Linked DNA regions of Schizosaccharomyces pombe. Changing the gene in region 1 together with any one later gene gives a genetic interaction. Each region holds a gene or a part of one and is shown in the gene's direction. Other genes may lie near its edges. The genes, in order: hos2, amk2, arp6 and swd22.

Evidence for each region.
Region 2: mutations in hos2 (region 1) and amk2 together harm fitness more than expected from each alone (negative genetic interaction), as found in Schizosaccharomyces pombe (2 studies listed by BioGRID).
Region 3: mutations in hos2 (region 1) and arp6 together harm fitness more than expected from each alone (negative genetic interaction), as found in Schizosaccharomyces pombe (2 studies listed by BioGRID).
Region 4: mutations in hos2 (region 1) and swd22 together harm fitness more than expected from each alone (negative genetic interaction), as found in Schizosaccharomyces pombe (2 studies listed by BioGRID).

The regions. Positions count from the first base shown.
Region 1 is NC_003424.3:3,167,205-3,172,743, forward strand, and holds hos2 (class 1 histone deacetylase Hos2), read left to right. Parts: upstream 1-2,466; 5' UTR 2,467-2,905; coding exon 2,906-4,210; 3' UTR 4,211-4,308; downstream 4,309-5,539. Other genes in the region: tif211 (translation initiation factor eIF2 alpha subunit), read left to right, coding at 1-340; png1 (chromatin modification-related protein), read right to left, coding at 987-1,838; phenylalanine--tRNA (Phe) ligase alpha subunit Frs2, read right to left, coding at 4,380-5,495.
Region 2 is NC_003421.2:2,206,397-2,211,627, reverse strand, and holds amk2 (serine/threonine protein kinase AMPK (beta) regulatory subunit Amk2), read left to right. Parts: upstream 1-2,600; 5' UTR 2,601-2,628; coding exon 2,629-2,653; exon of another isoform or gene 2,654-2,706; coding exon 2,707-2,967; exon of another isoform or gene 2,968-3,137; coding exon 3,138-3,240; intron 3,241-3,336; coding exon 3,337-3,805; intron 3,806-3,853; coding exon 3,854-3,892; 3' UTR 3,893-4,143; downstream 4,144-5,231. Other genes in the region: SPOM_SPCC1919.04 (uncharacterized protein), read right to left, coding at 1-525; pbn1 (GPI synthesis protein pig-X), read right to left, coding at 4,158-4,967, 5,024-5,087, 5,131-5,231. UniProt on the Schizosaccharomyces pombe protein: Beta subunit of AMP-activated protein kinase (AMPK), which is required for transcriptional, metabolic, and developmental adaptations in response to glucose limitation.
Region 3 is NC_003421.2:1,209,010-1,214,578, forward strand, and holds arp6 (Swr1 actin-like protein Arp6), read left to right. Parts: upstream 1-2,929; 5' UTR 2,930-2,998; coding exon 2,999-3,078; exon of another isoform or gene 3,079-3,149; coding exon 3,150-3,264; exon of another isoform or gene 3,265-3,336; coding exon 3,337-4,347; 3' UTR 4,348-4,650; downstream 4,651-5,569. Other genes in the region: nmd5 (karyopherin), read left to right, coding at 1-2,080; Hsk1-Dfp1 kinase complex regulatory subunit Dfp1, read left to right, coding at 5,437-5,569.
Region 4 is NC_003424.3:1,686,918-1,692,215, forward strand, and holds swd22 (Set1C-histone-H3K4 methyltransferase complex subunit Swd2), read left to right. Parts: upstream 1-3,348; 5' UTR 3,349-3,444; coding exon 3,445-4,470; 3' UTR 4,471-4,798; downstream 4,799-5,298. Other genes in the region: bst1 (GPI inositol deacylase), read left to right, coding at 1-1,701; SPOM_SPAC824.03C (uncharacterized protein), read right to left, coding at 1,985-2,728; HOPS complex subunit Vps16, read left to right, coding at 5,090-5,120, 5,161-5,195, 5,244-5,298.

The DNA.
Region 1 (5,539 bases):
TGGCTACGAAGGTATTAACGCTATCAAGGCCGCTTTGAAGGCTGCTGAAGATGTTCATACCGAGGAGGTTCCTATCAAAGTTAAACTTGTTGCTCCTCCACTTTACGTCCTTTTGACAAACGCATTAGATAAGTCATTGGGTCTCAAAAAGCTAGAAGAGGCAATTGGTGCAATCGAAAAATCCATTACAGCATCCAATGGTACCTGTACTGTTAAAATGAAACCCAAGGCGGTTAGTGAAACTGACGAATTGGAGCTTGCCGATTTGATGAAAAAATTTGAAAAGGAAAATGCTGAAATCTCTGGTGATGAAGAGGATGACCAAAGCGGTTCTGAGTAAATGGATTAGACACTAGCTAATATACGCTTTTTCATTGTGAATTTTTGGCACTTTAGTGTTCCATTATAATCTGGGGTTCTTTTTATTTTGTACTATACACTTTATCAAATTTATCTAGTGATATCTATGGTTAAAAAATTTCCTCTTCTTTTTTCCGAATGCGTAAGAGTTCTTTTATATGTTACGAGATAATATGAAAACGCTAGACGCTGCATCTTGTTCCTTTGTATGTACAATAATAAGTTCAGTTCCAATATAGTAGAAATAATGGACAACAAATGCAATTACAAATAATAAAGTTACAAAAGACTTATTACTGTGGTTAGCTACGGCGTGTAATATCTGCTTTGGGGAGGATTGGGGAAATTAAAGAACTGAATTTCTTAATGTACAAGTAATCTGGTACTTATTATGTGAGTGAAAAACAAACAAGGACAAGAATAAGATAAAAAGGATTCGTAATCGTGAAGATATGATTAATAAATTAACCATTTTGCAAATCACATATACACAGCTTGAACAACGTATAATCAAATATAGTAAGTTCGGAACAGGTGAAAAATTAGCGGATATTAAAGCCCAAAAAAAAACAACAATGCTTGCATTCAATAATGGGAAGACCAACAGACTTTAGATTGGGGAAAAATTACTTAGCATCAACAAGCTTCTGATCCCTACAAGCTTCGCAATACCATGTACCTTCAGGAGGAGCTTTAAGACCAACACACTCCATATGGAACCATTCACGCTCACAATTAGCATTGTCACAAGCGACCATTTGCCCATATGATCCTTGCTGGCAAAAACAATACTTTTCATTATCCTCTTCCATATCTTCTTCTGAGACCATTTCATTCGGCGTTGTGGAATCTGCCTTAGTTTCTAACTGGGTGGTTGCAGTGGCATTCGAAACCTTCTGACCGCGAGTTGAACCAGAATCTGCCAACGAAGCCGTATAAGGAGAGTGATAGACTCCATTTTGAATTGCACCCCTGGTAGTTGCTGAAGTACGACGGCGACCAGCTGTTGAGGCTCCCGACCGAGAAGGGGCCGGTGTTTGACGAGCACTTGAGGCACCACTTGGACTGTATCCACCATACGGTGAAGAAGCATAGTAGTCAGGAGCATTTAACAATTCCGCAGCTGTAAATCCATGACCGGCCTTTGCAAGTCTATCATCCAATCGCTTTATGTGCCGTGTAAGTCCCAATCTGGCACGATCCGCCAACTGGACTTTCTCGTTCTGTATATTAATTGCCTTTTGATACTCCTCGCGAATCGTCGAATACAAAGCATCTTCTTTTGGATGTGGGGTCAAGGAACCATGTGATTTAATGTATGACTGAATCTGAGAATCAGCTGCTTGAATTCTCTTCCAGATGTCATGTACAGCAACTTCCTTCACACTAATTTCGTCAAAGATGTGTTTTGTTTCGTTGGGAACATTATCCAACGTTTGCAAATACTCACTTAGTATGTAAGCTGTATCATCTGCCATTATTCTCAAATTGAAAATTATAGATACGTTCTAATTTCCGCTTTATGCAAAAATTATTATTATGATTTCAAATTCCAAAAGAAAGGGAGATTTGAGTCTTTTAAAGAGATAGGGAAAGTTGATATTCCACTAATATTTTCGATACTTCAATAACTAATGAATAAAAGATACTATGACTTTATCTTTTAAAGTAGAGGAATGTGACAATAAATGTACAAACGAGAAGGACAAAGACACTAATTGAAATAATATATATGAACCTATGGCTCGTTTTTGTGTCGTTTAAAGATTATTTTTACACTCTCTTAAGCTGCTGAAAATTTTTCCGGTTGTTTATAGTAGCCCACATTTGGTGTTGAGTTCCGCCACTCCATATAATGTAAACACAGTACTGGAAGGCAAAGAGGGCGAAATAAAAACATAAGAATTCACGCAAACCAAATCACTTTGAAGATAAATCTTTTCAACGTATGTATGATATCTAAGTTGCCAAATTGTCTATGAATTCACATGCTAAAGGTTACCATCTGTTTAAGTAATAACGATACGTTATTAATGTGTTAGTTCATATATGGAAGCATAACATACTAAACTACACCTAAGTTGGTAGCTTCCTTCTGTGTTCACTGAGATATACATTTTTAAGTTATAAGAATGAACCAGCACTAGCAATTCTTCAAAAAATTGTAAATCCTATTTGTTCTTGTGTTTATGGGCTTCAAAGAGTTTGAATTAACGCTTTGTTGAAGTTGTACATTTTATCTAATAAGGTATCGGGTTTAGCGACCTTTTGCTACGTATTCTGCGCTCGACGTAAAAATAAAGTATTTACAGTTCGTGTTGCTGTTTATTATTTGGATTGAATTCTTTTCTATAAAAAAATCTGGGTTGTTTTTCGATTTATATTAATTTGGCATTGGTCAATAACTTTCATTTCTCTTGTTTCTTCTGAAACAGTTATTAATTTGTTTCTTAATTTTATTTATTCTTTTCTTGTTCTTTCTTTAGAAAAGATATTTTCATTTAATTTGTCTCGCGGTTTTTTTTAGTATAATAGTCTGTATATCATGGATACTCCTGAGACATCCACACCTTATGAACAAGTTGAAAAGGGGTCTTTTTTTAGCTTTCGACCTCAAAAAAAGCGTGTCACATATCACTTAGATGAACAGGTGGGAAACTACCACTATGGTGACAAACATCCAATGAAGCCCCATCGAATTACCATTACAAATCATTTAGTGATGGGTTATGGGTTGCATAACAAAATGAGTGTATTCAGCCCCCGGATGGCAACTTTTGGTGAAATGTCAGAATTTCATAGGGAGGATTATTTGGATTTCCTTAAGCGCGTTACTCCTGATAATGCTGAACAATTTGCTGATAAGTTCCAACAATTCAATATTGGTGATGACTGTCCGGTCTTTGACGGCACTTATGAATTTTCTCAAAGGTCGGCAGGCGCTAGTTTGGATGCTTCTCGGAAGTTAGTGCAAGGTCAAACAGACATTGCTATCAATTGGAGCGGTGGTCTCCATCATGCAAAGCGTGGTGAGGCTAGTGGATTCTGCTATGTTAATGATATTGTTCTAGCAATTTTGAACATGCTACGGTTTTTTCCTCGCGTTTTGTATATCGATATCGATATTCATCATGGAGATGGTGTGCAGCAAGCATTCTATGAATCTGACCGCGTGTTGACGGTTTCTTTTCACAAGTATAATGGTGATTTTTTTCCTGCAACTGGTAATTTTGATGAAAATGGCGTGAAAGGAGGGAAATATTTTGCTTTAAACGTTCCTTTGGAAGATGGTATTGGTGATGAACAGTACACTAGTCTTTTCAAATCCATAATTGAACCAACTATCAATACTTTTCAACCTTCTGCAATTGTCCTTCAGTGTGGTGCTGATTCGCTTGGTTATGATCGGCTCGGCGTGTTCAATCTGAGCATCCATGCACATGGGGAATGTGTTAGATTTACCCGTTCATTCAATATACCCATGCTTGTAGTTGGAGGTGGTGGTTATACTCTTAGAAATGTTGCTAGAGCGTGGTGTTATGAAACTTCCATATGTGTAAACGAACAAATACCTTCAGAATTACCTCGTGAAACTTTGTATTACGAATTTTTCGCACCAGATTACACCCTCCATCCGCGATTAACCACGAAGATAGAAAATAAAAATACACCGAAAGCTCTTGAAGATCTTCGAATACGGGCCTTGGAGCAATTACGTTACTTAGGAGGAGCGCCAAGCGTTCAGATGCAGCAAATTCCACCAGACTTAACTGGGCATTTGGAAGAAGAAGACGAACGGTTGAATGATGAATACTTAGACAAAGCTGTGGATGTTCGCGTTCGAGGCTGATATTAATGAATTTTCGACTTTTTATTTGATATCCGTACAAACATCAAATAATTTTAGTTAATGTTTATAGACATTGTAAATATTAATAATTGACCCTATACGAAAATACGTTTACCATAGTGATTATGTATTATTTTTATAAACGATTATGCAAAAAAAAACACTAAATTTATTCCTCTTTGTCTAAACGAACTGCAGGGCTAGCCTCAATTAGGTCCAAGTTAACCTTAGGACCAATCAATTGTCTAATGTCGGCCACACCATATTTGATCATAGTGGGGCGCTCTAAAGAAAGACCAAAACCTAAACAACGAACATCTTTAGGTAATCCCATAGGCTCTAACATCTCCGGACGGAACATGCCGCTGTTTCCGACTTCAACCCACTTACCAAGCTTTTCGTGGTAGGAAAAGACTTCCAATGAAGGTTCAGTATAAGGATTATAAGCAGGTTTGAAGCGCAAATTTTTAACGTTCATTTTTCCAAAGAACACCTCAAGGAAACCGATCAAATCACCGAGGGTAATATTTCTATCGCAGATTACGCCTTCGACTTGATGAAATTCGGCAAGATGAGTTGCGTCAACGGTTTCATTGCGGAAGACCCGATCAATTGAGAAGTATTTAGCAGGGTGAAAGCCATTTTGGGCAAGTTTGTACAACATATTCGCCGAGACAGCAGTAGTATGAGTACGAAGAACTAGTTTACGAGTTTCCTCCAAGGAAAAGGGAGCACGGTATCCAATGCCCTTAGTCTCACCACCGTTTTCGTGAGTGGCCTTTACTCGAGCAACATATTCGGGATCTGGCAATTTATCAGTAGAAGCAGGAACTTTCAAAAAGAAAGTATCTTGAGCATCCCTTGCTGAATGTTGTTGGGGGACAAATAAAGCATCAAAGTTCCAAAATCCACTTTCAACAAAATTGTTGGTTGGCATTTCTTCAAAACCCAATTCGAAGAAAAATTTACGGAATTCTTCACGTACTTTCATCAAAGGATGAAGACATCCACCAGCTGGAGGTATACCTTCAGCTGCAAAGTTGTAAGATTTAAACTTGGCACTTTCCCATGATCGAGAGGTGATCATCTCAGCAGTTAAATCGGTGTTCAGTTTTTCAATTTGAAGCGAGAAATTTGGACCTTTCCTCAAAGAGAAGTACATAATTTTGTTACGTTCAACAAGCTTTCTCTTCTTCAAATCAGTTAACGTCTTACTGTCAGAGATAGTTCCATGTTCCTTAATTTCACTAAGGACCTTAGGGGTCTCATCTGTAATGGAATCAGTCTGGTCAGTTAGTAAATAAAATATTGCATAACGTTAAATCAATT
Region 2 (5,231 bases), on another chromosome or scaffold:
ATCACCCAACATAATATTTCTATCTTTGTAAGGATATTCTAAAACTTTTTCATTTTTCATCTTTGTCATGGCTTCCGTAACAGTGGAATTGGACGATGGCGTTGCAAAAGAATCAATGAAAGTAAAAACGGAATTCAAACTGAACCCTACAATGATTCCAAGAAATACAGCCCATGATAGCAAAACATACAATGGATATAAAGTAATTCCGACCATTAAAATGAATCTTGCAGGCGCACGAATAAAGTACCAATACACGCTTTGAACCAAAAGAATAGCAGGATCAGCAAGGATCCATAAAAATAGGCTCACAATTCGTAAAATAAATATTACAACTGTTCTTATTGTGAGAAAACCTGGAAGTAGTACATTACCAAAGACCTTCAAGCTAACGTTCCAGGAAATGACAGCGCTCACATATAGGATGGTAGATAGAATTTTAAGGCTTCTTAATAAGTAATTGAGCACTACAGCTCTGACTACAGTCCATATAGTTTCAAAGCCCTCAATAAACGAGAGATCCATGTCTTAAACAAAAAAGTTTTAAATTAGTGCTCTTAATAATTAGCACTCTGGATGTAAGTGATCAAGGAAGGTGCCCTTTCAAGTTGTTTGCGTAATGCACTATCTTGTATACCATGTCAGCAATATGACACTACGCTATGATACACTACGTTGCGTATCACTATATGTCACATGTTCTAATTATATATCGTACCATGTATGATACGATATGGAGATTGATCTTAATGATAATCTATTAAGATCAATATTATCTGAATACTATAAATAGAGCTACTGCTGAACCTCGTTCCTCAGTTCAGTTATGAGCTATATTAGTGATAGGTAACATTATAACCCAGTTAATACAATACCTATACTCAGTTGCTACTTATACAACCTGTGTATTGTAATATAATAGATCACAAGGAAAACTCACCGTAGTTCTACGTATCCTTAAATCAGATACCAAACTGCGTAGCGTACATACCAATTCTAAATACTACTATTCCTACAATACATTAATGTCAGCTTATATAAAATACACTACGATACACTATAACATATGCTCTAATATTCTATTTGCTCTATTTACTTACAAGATAAGTTATCAAGAAGATTATAATAGTGTTCAATAATAAAAAGATGTTATTTTATTACATAGTTTTTTCAATGCTTTAAATTAAGACAAACTGAACCTCGTTCCTCAGTTCAGTTATTAGCTAAATCGGTCACCAATACTAGTAGACTTATAACAATAAATATAATATTGTTAGTGAAGCATACCCATACCGTTATCTTGTAGCCCGCAAAAGAAACTCATCGCATTTTAGTGTATCGCTAAACAAATACCAAACTACGTAGCAAACAATAAATCGCGTAGGTTATTCATTAAAAGCCTCTAGGATATGTATGGGTATAATTTGTATATTTAAACGGTCTATTTCAAATCCTTCCTCGTGTTCGTGGCTTTAAAACAGCATAAAAAGATTACCACTGAAATCAAAATTTCGTTTGAGTTAGGTGAACGGAAAGAGTACTCTAACAGCATATTCAACCATATGTACTTCAATTCATGACATTTTTGTAATGGAACATATCATATCAAAAAACAATACTTCATACTTTATTGTATCATTAAACCAATACTGAGCTGCGTACTAACAACATATAAGTTTTCACTACTTTGCTTCGTTATAGATTATAAAGTGAAGGATTCATCGCAACAAAAATTCACGTTTGGTTTGGTAAAGTCGTCATTTAACTAAAAAATAATATATTCTTCGTTTCATATGGAATGTATTTAATCAGTACGTTCATTGAAAACACTGTTCTTGTTTTTGCAATGCAGTGATTTTAGTTCGCTTATTTCGCAGCATAATAAGTAGACATGAAAAATTGACGGAAATAGAGCATTTGATATCTAGAAATTCAGGCTTTTTTTAAGTTCGTAACTTAATTTGAGTGATTTCGTCTGAGAAATAGAAGCGTCTTTTTTACGAAAGAAGTTTTTGCGCCATACTTATATATTGTTATACTAGAACGTAGTTAAAAAAGATGAAGCTATACGAGCGTAATGTACAAGGTATTCATTAATTTATAAACATATAATATGCAGGCCTTTCGGTTATGGAAGTTTAACTCAATTAAAGCCTCGCTAAGTTACAATAATTATAAGTGAACCGCTTTTAGTGTATAATTAACTTGAAGGCCTCTCAATGCACAGAGTAGTTTAAAATTTTTCTATATCGTTTCATATGTAGCTTCAATAATTTTTTAAACATTTCCATTAAGAATGAGAAGCATGCTGCTTTTTACCTTCAAAAGATTATACATAGCTGTTGTAGAACTGTATTATACGTCCCAAATGCAATATTAAATTTTTCAGCTTTTATCATACAGCTTTTAGATATTTATTCTTTATAATAAATGGATTTTCAATTAATGTTTTCTTTGATAAAGCTGCAAAACAGTACGAAGCGTTTAACTGTGAATAACGCTGCACTTTAGCTTCCACTATTTAATGATAGCTTAGATACAATAAATAACCTTATTTCATGCTCGTTGGGGTTTAGTTCAAAGTGATGAGCTACAAAGCCAGAACAAACTACTTTACATCATTTCAAAATGGGAAATGTTCAATCTCAGGAGGGTAATGTCCTTTAAGTTAAACACATGTGAAATAAGTATCTAATTTAATGTTAGGAGAGACTCGCGCACATGCTGTCCCTTCTCAAGATGCCACAACAACGCCTGACAATGCAAATAACGTTCCAAAAGAACCACGTGCCCAAAGCATGATTAGTATTGCTGCAGATGATTTGAATCAAGAAGGTGAAATGTCGGATGATAATCAGCAGGAAGGCGGTAATAATCGTACTTCCCAAAACGGAACTTCAGGATCGAGTGGTCATACGAAACGCCGTTCTCAAACTTCAGGCAAGAAGACACATCAGCCTTATTCTGGTAAGTTTCTTTAAGACCGGTTTATTTGATTGCTTGACATCCTTATGTAACAAGGGTGATTTACCGTAACATTGCATTATCATTTAAGCTGTTGACCTTAACGTTTGTTTGCAATAGTTTTCAGAAAGGAGATTTTTTGCAATTGACAATTTAATTACTTACACATATAGGTCCTTGTGTGCCAACCATTATTCGATGGAGAGGAGGCGGTGAAGTTGTTTATGTCACTGGATCGTTTTCTCGTTGGAAGAAAAAAATCCAATTACTGAAAAGGTATGAGTTTTTCATGGTGTGCTTTTTTCTATATTTGAGCCTCCCTTTATAGGTTGTTTATCCTGTTTTAAGCTTGCTAACTTTTTCGCCAAATAGCGAAGATTACACTGTCCTTTTGCAATTACGTCCTGGAACTCAGCGTTTTAAATTCTTGGTTGATGGTATATGGTGCTGTTCTTCAGATTTTCCAACTGCCACCGATGCGGAAGGCAACCTTTACAACTACCTCGAGGTGGAAGCTAATGAGAAGTTAGGCGCTAGTATTGATGAAAGATTGAGTCAAGTTCATACGGACCTTCCGATGGAGGAAAAGTCTGAATCTGAGCAATATTCTACGGAGATACCAGCTTTTCTTACTAGCAACACCCTTCAAGAGTTGAAGTTGCCAAAGCCCCCTTCTCTACCTCCTCATCTTGAGAAGTGTATCCTTAACTCAAATACTGCCTATAAGGAGGATCAGTCTGTCTTGCCAAATCCTAATCACGTCCTTTTAAACCATTTAGCAGCTGCAAATACCCAGTTAGGCGTTCTCGCTTTAAGTGCTACTACGCGCTATCATCGAAAGGTAAGTCGGTTCCTTATACGCGTTGCTTGACTAACTTTGTTTCCCCAGTATGTCACTACTGCTATGTTTAAAAATTTTGATGTCTAGCCATACCGCATCTGTCGAATTTATTGTTTATATTTCGCGACGTATATAATCACTTTAATGATAAATTTATTTTTTTAAATTTCTCAAACATCCCATCATTATACTTCATTTGATTGGTTTATTTGCACGATTTTGTTTCGAGAAAACTTTACGCTGTGATATCAAGCACAAAGCAACCAGTTCATATTTCACTATGTAGCGATCCATAGGTTAATTAATTTTTATAAATACATATCTAGTTACTTCACTTCACGATGTTATTCTCTTAATCCTTTGCGTAACGGAACCTTTTCCACAAATATAGCAATAGGTAGAAGAACGAAAAAATCGCGACTCCATTAGTCACCCATTCTACGACATGTTTATAGGATAAATCGGCTATTGGAATAGATATGCTTAAGGTTGTTGGATCGTTTTGTAAGGTATATTTGTTCTTACTGGAAAACAGAAATCTGAAATCATTTACTTTGTCTTCAGTGTCACAATTCCAGAAAAACTTGGGATTTGTTAATGATGTTTTTAAGTATGTTTGTCCTTTGAGAGGGCTTTGATAACGTGTGTGTAAGGGAATGATAGTGTCTATATAGTCTTTTTGCAACAAACCATCGTCCGTATATATGTCAAACCAGAAAAAAGACCCAGTACCATTTAATTTGTAACTAGGTGCTTCCAAGTCGGTCTCACCCCAAATTCCTAAAACATGCCCTAAATTGTCGGCATGCATTTCCGCAATATTAGATAGCTCGTACCTGTCAATAAACAATGTAGGTGGTATGTACATGAACCCCTGCAAAGAGCATTCGTCTTCAGGTTTATGCAGATTTTTCAAATGAACATGCAATTTGGGATGTAGACCTACCGGCAAACCGAGCTGTGTCTCATAACTACCCACTGGTATATCTAAATTTGGAACAGTTTCCAAAGACACATTCCATCCCTTTTCACTCATACAAGCAAAAATCATTTCTTCATTGTTTAAAGCTTTATTTCCTTTGTCAATAAATATCTGCATAAATTCTTCAGATACTACTTCTGAATGGAAAACCTTTCCAAAAGGGGTTTCAACCCAATAATTCTAGTACAAATTAGCTAGAGGTTTCACAATTCGTAGTGTTGAATATAGGTTATTACCTCTCTCGAAAGATGCGATATATTAATATTGTTTTTGATCTCCCTAAACTGTTTGGCGATAGACCTTGAAATGGTATTAGATCTAGCATTTTCAAGAAGCTACTTACAAAGAATCTATTGTATTGTTTCTTAGAATCCAAACACCCTTGGGCAAATAATTTACTGTGTTGGAAATAACAACTTTAAACAATGTTGTTGTTCCAGTATC
Region 3 (5,569 bases), on another chromosome or scaffold:
GTCCACTTGGGCACTCCTCAAGCCTCATCTTCAACTATTGATTGGCAGCTTTGTGTTTCCTCAATTATGTATGAGCGAAGAAGATGAAGAACTTTGGGAACTTGATCCAGTAGAGTTTATTCACAAATATATTGATATCTATGATGATTTCAATTCTGCTGATGTTGCTGCTTCACGGTTCCTTGTGAAATTAGCATCGAAACGCAAGAAATATACGTTCATGGGTATTCTTTCCTTCGCCAGTGACATCCTGAACCAATACGCCGCTTCACCTCCTAATGAAAAAAATCCTCGCCAGAAAGAAGGTGCACTTCGTATGGTTGCTGCTGTATCTAATTCCATCCTTTCTAAGAACTCCCCTGTTGCAGGCATGATGCAAGATTTCCTTGTCGCTCACGTTATGCCCGAATTTACTAGCCCAGTTGGTTATTTACGATCTCGAGCTTGTGAAATGATCAATCGGTTTTCAGAAATTGATTGGAGTGATAAATCGCAGCTTTTGAATGCATACCAGGCAGTTTTGAATTGTCTTCAAGATAACGATTTACCTGTGAGAATTCAAGCTGCTTTAGCTTTGCAACCACTTATGCGTCATCTGGAGGTACACGATGTTATGACCGCCCATGTACCCATCATTATGCAAAATCTCCTATTTCTGGCGAATGAAGTTGATATTGATGCTTTATCTTCTTGTATGGAGGAATTTGTAAGTTCTTTTAGTCACGAGTTAACACCTTTTGCTTCACAATTGGCTAAACAACTTCGCAATACCTTCGTCAAGCTTATGCAAGAAACCATGGACGAATCTACTACCGTAGATGATTTTGACTCCTTAGTTGATGATAAATCGATTGCGGCTATTGGCATTTTAAATACTCTCAGTACAATGATTTTAAGTCTCGAGAACACGGTTGATGTCTTACGTGAAATTGAAGCAATCTTACTTCCAATGATTAATTTTGTATTAGATAACAACATTTTTGACGTGTATGCAGAGTTGTTTGAAATTATCGATGGTTGCACTTTTGCTTCTAAGGAGATATCCCCTATTATGTGGGGCGTGTATGAAAAGCTTCAAAAGGTGTTGAAAGAGTCTGGCATTGAGTTTGTAGAGGAGGCAACTCCTGCCTTAAGTAACTTTATCACGTATGGTGGAAAGGAATTTGCTTCCCGTCCTGATTATATCGCCGTTATGGTTGATATTATCATGCAAGTTTTTAATAGCGAGCACCTGGCCGTCAATGACCGTGTTTCGGCTTGTAAACTAACCGAACTTTTAATGCTTAATTATCGTGGCCTTTTGGATCAATATGTGCCTGCGTTTATTGAGGTTGCTGGTAATCTCTTACTTGTAACTGAAAAGCCAACTTCTCAAACATACCGCGTATTTTTGTTGGAGGTTATAATCAATGCATTATATTATAACCCATCGATGTCTCTTGGGGTACTTGAAATGCATCAGTGGACTTTACCATTCTTTGCGTTATGGTTTGAAAATATACCTTCGTTTACTCGTGTGCATGATAAAAAGTTGAGTTTGGTAGCTATTTTATCGGTAATTTCACTGGGAGCTCAACAAGTTGCTGTTGCTATCCAAGACTCTTGGGGTAATATAATGAAAGTCATGATAACTCTTTTAAATACACTACCTGAAGCATTAGCTGCTCGCGCGGAATTAGAAAAAGAGTATGACGGTGAAACATTTAATTTATCTGGCTCTGGTTGGAATGATGGCATCGATTGGGAAGCCGATGATGATGAGGGTGTCGATGACTTTGCCGTCGAATATGGGGGACCTGATTTGGGTGGAGAAATCTCGGCTGATGTGGTTGACGATTTTGACGAATTTGAGCATTTCCAAGGAAATTACTTGTTGGACGAGGATCCTCTTTTCCATACTTTGTTAGATCAAGTTGATCCATTTTCACTTTTCCAAGAGTTTATGGTTCATTTAAAGGACAACAGCCCTGTCACATTACAAGATCTTGTCAAAAATTTGGAAGCATCCGAGCAGCAATCCTTACAGAGATTGGTAACTGAAAAACCCTCTACCCTTGCTGTCGCTTCCGATAAAACATGAGCCTGTTTGGCGCTCTAAGCCTGTCCAATTTTGGTAATAAAATATAAAAATATAAAACAAGCATTTTCTACACAGTGGTAATAAGCCAAACTGACATATTTGAACGGCTCTTTTTAAATGGGAAATCAAACTCTACGGGTTTGTAAAAATAATTTCTTCAATGAGATACGACCCGGAATTATGGCTTGGGAAAAATGGATGGAGGGTTTGTCTAAAGGGAAGGCTAAGAAAATTATTGTTGTATCGGTTTACAGTTCGGTGAAAACAAACGCAGAGGTGTGTTTCTTTTATAAGAATTTTGGAACGCCAATTGATTAAATGAAATTTAAAATCATAATATACCAGTTAATAAATATGAGAAGTTTTAAAATCGATTAATACTAGTTCATTTGCTTTTACTTTATGCGAATTGACAAACGCAAGTTGATGAGAAAATGAAATAGAAATATATTTTTCTTGAGGAAATAAGCATAAAGTTAAGTATCCACGATTTAGTAGTATAGGGAAAGTCGGTGTTTATGAATGGTATATTAGATGTACGTTGAATTAAGCAGCTAACTAAATTGATAACGGCTAGTTTAGGGGTTGGATAATATGATAAACGGCTTTTACAAACTAAATTTGATAGACAGCCCCCCATTAACGATGTTGTTATATTGATAAAGCTAAGATTTGCAAGATTTATCTTTAAAGTTATTTTAAAAAGATATCCTTCAAATTTATGATATTATTAAAAATATCATAAATATCTTTAAGAGCCAGCGTTATTATACTATTGCTTCAAACTGTAATGATATTGTTGTTATAGCACAACGCTATCATATAACAGCATTCCAAAGCCGTAACAACAGTACATTTAATCGCGGTTTTTGGGTGAAGTTAAGACCTAAGATATAGGAATACATTTTTATTAATAATATGGGACTACCCCCTAAAACTATTGTTTTAGACAATGGGGCATACCATATAAAAGCTGGATTTGCAGGTGGAAAAGTTGTGTAAGAAGAAGTGCATCACGTCAATAAATTTCATGTATCTTTTACTTTTTTCAGCTAACGATAGTTTTTAGTGAAATTCCGAATTGTTTGACGAGATCAAAAGATGGAAACAGATTATTTTTGGGGAATGAATTGGCCAACTGTAACGACTTTACAACTTTACAATTTCGCAGGGCGCATGAAAAGGTACAGCATTTATGAGGGAGTATTATTTACGAACAAAATAAATACAAAGATTATGTTTACTAATACTAGTAGGGGTATTTGGTCCATTGGAGCACAGAAACAGCCGTATGGGACTTGGTAATGCGCAATGTAGGTGTGATGGAACCTAGCATGGCAGACTATTCTTTACTGCTTACACAGCCCGTATTTACAATGCCTTCCATAGAACACAATACTATACAACTCGTGTTTGAGGAATTCCAATTCGATGCTTACCTCCCTTGCACCCCAGCTGAGCTAATTCCTTGGGATCATGGAAGTTTCACAATGAATCAAGAAGATGCGTATACTGGTCAACATGGAGAATGCGTTTTGGTAATTGACTCTGGATATAGCTTTACACACATAATTCCTGTGATTGATTTCTCTGTTCAAGAACAAGCGGTAAAGCGAGTTGATGTGGGAGGGAAATTACTTACGAATTATTTAAAAGAAGTCATCTCATACCGGAAGTACAATATGATGGAAGAAACATACATTGTTAATGAAATTAAAGAGTCCGTTTGTTATGTGTCTCAAAACTTCAAGGAGGACATGGAGATATGTCACGAAAAACCACGGTCAAAATTGGAAATTTGTTATGCTTTGCCCGATTACAGCACTGGAAAACATGGATATATTGTTAGAGATATTAATCAAAAAATAGAGCAACAAGTTTTGAATCTTTCAAATGAGAGATTCATGATACCAGAATTATTATTTTCCCCATCTGATATCGAAATACGTGAGGCTGGGATTCCAGAGGCGGTCATGCAAAGTGTCACCCACTTTCCTGAAAATATACAGGCAATGTTGCTTGAAAATGTTGTTACAATAGGAGGAAACTGTAAATTTCCCGGATTTCATAAAAGACTATCATCTGAATTACGGTCGCTGGCACCAGCTAATTGGGAAGTTAAAGTTTTTGAACCTTCAGATCCTATTTGCTTTCCATGGAAAAAGGCATCTCATATGCCGTTGGAGCACTGGAATGCGAATAAAATAACTCGTTCTGAGTACTCAGAACATGGAGCAAACATAATGACACGAAAAAGGAGAATATAATAGATCACCATTTTAAAACTCAATAATGTGGGTTAAATTTCTATCTTCACAAAATTCTCAAGGCGAGCTGATAATTCGCATCTTAAGAAATTGGTTTATTACATTAAGGCTACAGCAATATAAAACGAAAAATATGCATGCATTAAGAATAAAATCTTTTTATATTAATTAACGAATCATTCTATCTCTTGATCAACCACTAAAACAACAGCTAAATAACTATATCTTTATTATTGTCGCCAGGATAATTCATACCTAAAAAGCGTTAGCGAAATGAAAGATATTATAAAAAAGATAGGAATGAAAATCAGTATACAAGTATAAAAATTTAACCACATAGTTGTGTCTTCAAGACTAATCGATTTGTAAAGCATCATATGTAACATTCTATCTCTTCAAGTGTTTATACTTACATATTATTAATGTGCCTGAAAAACAAGATTGAAAAAAAAGAAAAATTTCAGCACTTCTTCACTACTGTTTCAAGTGCATTTTATATGTACAGTGCAGTTTCAGGTTGACAGTATAAGAGTTAAAGCAACCTTGAGTTAGAGCAGTCACGGTATACTACTTTAATTAGAATGTAGCGCGTTGCGTTGCAATGTAGTCGTGTCGCGTCTGTTTACATTTTGGATAGAAAGAGCTTTTCGTGAAATTTTGTTGCTTCTGTTGGATAAATTGTTCTTTTTCTCAAGTTAATCATATAATTCAGTAAAGGAAAACTGTGTAATAAGAAGAATCGAGATCCCAAATTATTTCTGTTGAGCCTTGTTCATGGGCTACATATATTTTCCCTCACATTTTCAACAGTAAAGCCTTAAATATAAAAGTAAAAGTTGATTAAATGATATAAATTTACTTTAATAATATAAATATGTACAGATATTTTATATTTTCTTCATAGATGTTACCCAATTGAATCGTTACTTTAAGCTGTAAAAGTTGGCCAAATTGCAGTAATCTCGAGTTGACCACCACCAAACACTAATATTGTCTTTTGCGAAAGTAAACAAAGAGAATTAATCCCAAGCTAGGCTCTCATTAAGAGGAAAAATCAAATACACTAATTTAGTAAGGTGGCTGTACCACATGAACCTAGGAAGATGTCCTCTAGCTCCTCGATCTGCGAATATAGTACTCCCGAAACATGATGCCGTATCCAAACAAAAGGAATATCGAATTGAGGAAAAGACAAACGAAGCACAAAGGGAGGAAATTATAA
Region 4 (5,298 bases), 1.5 Mb from region 1:
TTAGTGTCTGATGATTCGAAAGCACCCGCTAGTGGGTTTGTTGTTGGGGGATTTTCAAATGTTTCGTTGGATCCTAAAACGATTAAAGGTTCTCAAATTGAACTCTTCAAAAGCGGAAGAAAATTTCAATTCGACACCAAAGGATCGATTTCGAAACGCTTCAGGTTCCCTGGTATTCAGAGCTCAATTATGGCTTACACCATTTCAGTAACGTACGAACTTTATCCTGGTGCCGTACCTCAAAAAGAATTTACCCCTATGTTAAAGCAAAGTATTGAATCTCCATTTGAAACAAAATATCATGTGAATATGTCAAATACAGAACTTTCTGTTCACGGGATATCCCCATTTATGGAATTTTTTGGTAAGGAATCAGAAAAATCTTTAACTCTCGAATTCTTTTTGAATCCTGCTATCTATAAGTCGGTTTATGTTTCAATACAGCCAAGTTATTACAGGAGCGCTGGGCGTCTGCTCATGCGTTACAGAACATTACTTGCTTCCTTTCCTGTGGTTGTAATTAGTTTGGCAGCTTACAATCAGTTTAGGTATTTTCATTACGGTTCTGCATACTTGAGTATGTCGGCTGCACTTGAAGTCATGATTCGCAAAGGACTTATCAAACTCCTTTTTTTAGTTTCGATCTTGTCAATTGCATTTTCATATTTAATTAGCAGAGTAGAGTTGATTGTTGCCGATGGTGCTGACCCTGTCGCCTCTTGGAAAATATTCGCAATGATGGTTCCAAAATCTTTCTGGAAACAAAATCATTTACTTTTTGGACTACAGACTGCTCAATTTTGGTTCCTCGCCCCGCTGTTAACTTTAATGTTTGTTGGCTTAGTTATAACAGCCAGTGTTATTATACTCTGTGTCATGCATTTATTAGCATTCATATATGGTATCTACTTGCGTTATAAAGGTTTGACTTTTACTGGTGTATGCCAAGCTGTGAAGTTCTCCTTTCAATGTCTGAGAACAAGAAATACTAGAAAATTGGATCATGGAGAATTTAAAAAACTTTCGAGTTTTCTATCTCAGAGAAATATGTATTATGCAAACCCTTCTCTCTGTTACGTATATGGAAAGAAGCATATGCAAGCTCGGATAATTGGCATCATGTTATTGTTGCTCATGGCAATGACGGTGGTACCCTTTCAACTTGTTTATGGTGTTGCTTTATGTACCCAGACAGTAACTACTGCTAAAGCTTTACACTTGGCCCGATTTTGCACCAAGTCAAGCCATTACCGAAAAAAATTGTGGGATTTCTACAATTTCTCTTGCACGATAACAATACTGATGTTACTCTTAGCTCCTTTGGACTTTCCTGTTCTCATTGTTTGGGCTAGAAATCTTTCCATGCATTGGTCTATTCCTTTCCCCACACATCATAATTTCTTCTCAATTATCCCTTTTATATTACTCACCGAAATTTTACGAACAGGAAAGATGCTACCTCGTTTGAACGACGTGGAGTACTACATAAATAACGTTTTTTTGTTTCTTCTGTCTTTCTATTCATTGATATATGGAGCTGAAAAACCATACCTCATTCACAATGTAGTTGGGTTATACTTTTTTTGGCTTTTATTTTTGTATGCCAAGAATGGTTTTTTTGTACAAAACATTTCGAAATGGCCGATCATTCCTAGAATGAAGTATTTTATTAAGCACAAATTTTTGCGATCTATTTCTTAATGGAAACTTGTAACAATATTATTTAATTCTTTTCTCTTTTTTCTTTATTCTCTCTTTTATATTACATTATTTCCTTTATTTTCACACTGTTGAACACTTATCATACTTTAATTTTCAAGATAGAACTTCGTTTTTATTTGGTAGACATTCGTTCATTGAATTTTATTTCTATTTATTACCTTGAATAATATCTCTTTACAAAGTTTATTGGTTTATCAAAGACTGAATAACTCACATTAGCATGATGGAAATAGAAAAAGATGAATTAATATATGAGCTGTCATCAACAGTTAAGAGATATTTTTTGATTTTTGTAGACCAACACTAAAGGTACTGGCCTTTCTTCCGTACGTGATAATGGCTGTAATAGTTCAAATAAGGAAACATAATTCACTTGGGAAAATTCCTGAGATAAAGGCACAATATTAGCGGTTGGCGAAGGAAGCTTGTAAATCTGGCGCACACTCAGGTCGGGAAAAATAGCCAAAGCTTGGTGATTCCAAACAAATTGAAACATGTAGCTATGAAATCCGTCAACATATATGCGGCATAAGGCAAGAGGTCTGTTGCTGATGGACAAAGTCTTCAGTGAGGATGATGTGAAAGAACCCAAACAAGCCAAAATCCCAAGAGTATCTGTTGGATAAGATGACAAAGAGCCTTCAAGCTCTCTAACAAATCTGGGCCCTATTGATCCCTTGTTAGATTTGCAGGATACGACAACTTTGGTGGGCTCAAACAACACATTTTTAATCGAAAATTGGCCCACCAAATCCACCCCACCATCGCCCTTTCCACCACATCTTTCAAGCTGAAAACTGTGTTGCTTTAGCACATACTGTACCAAGTATTCAAACAAGGTTCCTTGGGCAACAGTATTCGACGTTGAAGGCTTCTGAACACTCAAATGTTCTAAATAGGAAACAAGATTGTTGTGTGTGACAGACAAGTTTCTAAGGCCTAAAAGGCCTCTGTTCATGAATGAAAAATTTCTACACCGATTGAACCCTGACTTTAAAATCCACATCACGCTAGACAGAATGCGAAAGACTTAAACAGTATAAAGTTCAGGATAAGAAATGAATTATGCAAATATTCATTCCCTTCTAATTCGAATAACAACGACTGAGGATCGAAAGTAGTTATTTAAATAATTTTTGCTGAATTTTAGAAGTTCGTGAATCACGCCGTTCCTTAGTAATTTTAATTAATCTGTTAACGGTTTGCAAAAGCAAATTCGCGATATCTAAGAAAAATTTATTCAGAAAATAACAAAAATACAGAGCTTTGAGGATTACAAGCAAGCGACAAAATAATTGAAACTGGTTCTGCTGTATTTCATGGAATGATCCAGCTTCCTTGGTAGCTTTGTTTATAAGTTTTCCTTAATAAAAATTTACTCTTAAATTATATTTGATAATATGAAAGTTTTGATAACATCACGCCTCCATTTCCACAATATCAAGCCTTCAGACTCTTTTATTAATCAAGTGTATTTTTGGTGGAGAAATTAATAGCCTGTTAATTTTCAACTTCACTATTCTTTTTAAAAGTTTTCGAATTGTAATTTAAAACTGTATACTAAAACGTGCTACAGTTCGTTAAACACGTTGTCTGGCACTACTCTAATTTTGTGGAATCACAAGTAAACAAATGCAAGCAAGGGCTTAGCAAAGTAGAAAGGCCCTTAAGGGGATATAAAAGGAAATTCAAAGAGAATTTATATATTTTATTTAATTCTCAATGGATATCGGCATACTTTCGAGTTTAAAGCCTGCACAGTCGTTTCGTGATAACTCATTAGGAAGCTTCATTAATAGCATTGATTACAGTGATTCTGGAGAGTATGTTGCAACGACATGTTCTGCCGATGACACAGTCCAAATATATGATGCTTTAGATCCGAAGCAAGTCCATACAATAACTTGTTTCGAAACCGGCATAGAAGTTGCTCGTTTTACACACCACGATCATAATCTACTTTTGTCTACCACAAAGGGGAATAAGGATATTCAATATGTTTCAATTTATGACAACAAAAGAATATCGTACTTCAGTGGGCACACGGACATCGTTTCATCCATTGAGGTTTCTCCTATTGAAGACCAATTCGTTAGTACGGCAAACGACAAAACCTTGAAGCTTTGGAAAATGAATCAATCCTCGAGATGCCTTGGAAATTTAGATCTCCCATCCCTTGGAATTCCCGCTTATGATCCCACAGGTCTTGTTTTTGCGGTTGCATGTCATTCACTGTCACGTATCTTTCTTTACGACGTGCGGAATTATGGTTCTGATCCGTTTTCAACATTCACAATAGATGACTCTCGTTACTTATCAAGGTTTTCGTTTCCCCCCATGATGCCTGAGTGGAAACATATGGAGTTTTCCAACGATGGAAAATGTATACTTCTCTCAACTAGAGCTAATGTTCACTATATACTTGATGCATTCAGCGGGGATGTTTTATCTAGATTAGAGGACTTCCAAGAATTGCCGTTCTCCAACAATTTTCACGGCGGCTCAACCACTTTTGTACCTCAAGGTAATTTTGTCATAGGATCTGCTGACGACCGTACCCTGAATGTATGGAATTTAAGACATACCTTTCACCATAAAGGAAAAACAAGACCTCCTGAACATCGTATTGTTTCTCAGTCTATAATTAATCCAGGTCTTGTTAAGTATAATCCTAGGTATGATCAACTTTTGACTGCAGGGTCCCAACTCGTTTTTTGGCTTCCCGAAAAATATGCCTTAACATCATGATTATACTGCTAAAGCATACCGTAATCTTCTCCCAGGTTTTAATTATTATATAATCTTATTTATGTCTTCAACAACTACCTATACGTAAACCTGAGGAACCTGTCATTTCAACAAATGAACTAAAAATTTTTAAAATATAAAATCCTCATAAATCTTTAATTGATTTTTCATATTTCCCGATCTTAATTTTCTTCATGCAATGTTAGAATTTTTACTAATACCCTTTTTATTAAAGGATTCGCTAGAATTCATTGATATATGAATATCAAGAAATCAAACTTTGCGATAAGCAAAATAATGTTAATACTATTCTATCTTTTGACATATACCATGTTGACATTGTATAACGCATACGTATGCATGTAAATGACTCCTAGATATATCTGTTTTCTTATTCCTTCAATCCACTGTAATTAAAAAAAAAGATTAAATTAAAGAAATCCCAGGTAAACGGGAAAGCGAATTGTTTAGGTGCTTGACATAGTGAGATGACTCTTACCAGTTGCTTTAAGTGTGATCGGGGATACCACTGTTCGTCACAATACTCACGTGTAATATACATTGAACTACATTTATAGAAGTTGCTTCACCTTTTTAGCATTTTCTAAATAAAATAGAAATGGAGCCTTCAATAAAGTATCCCATCTATGGTATGCCGTTCAGTTGCATAGTTATACTAATTTACGAAAGAATGGGAACTTTTACAAGACACTTATTACCAAAAGGTACGTCAGAATGGAATTTGTAACAGAGTTAAAAACTAATGTAACTAGTCAGCTATTGGAAAGGCGGAATGGGAATATATAGATCCTGTTGACTTTATGTTTG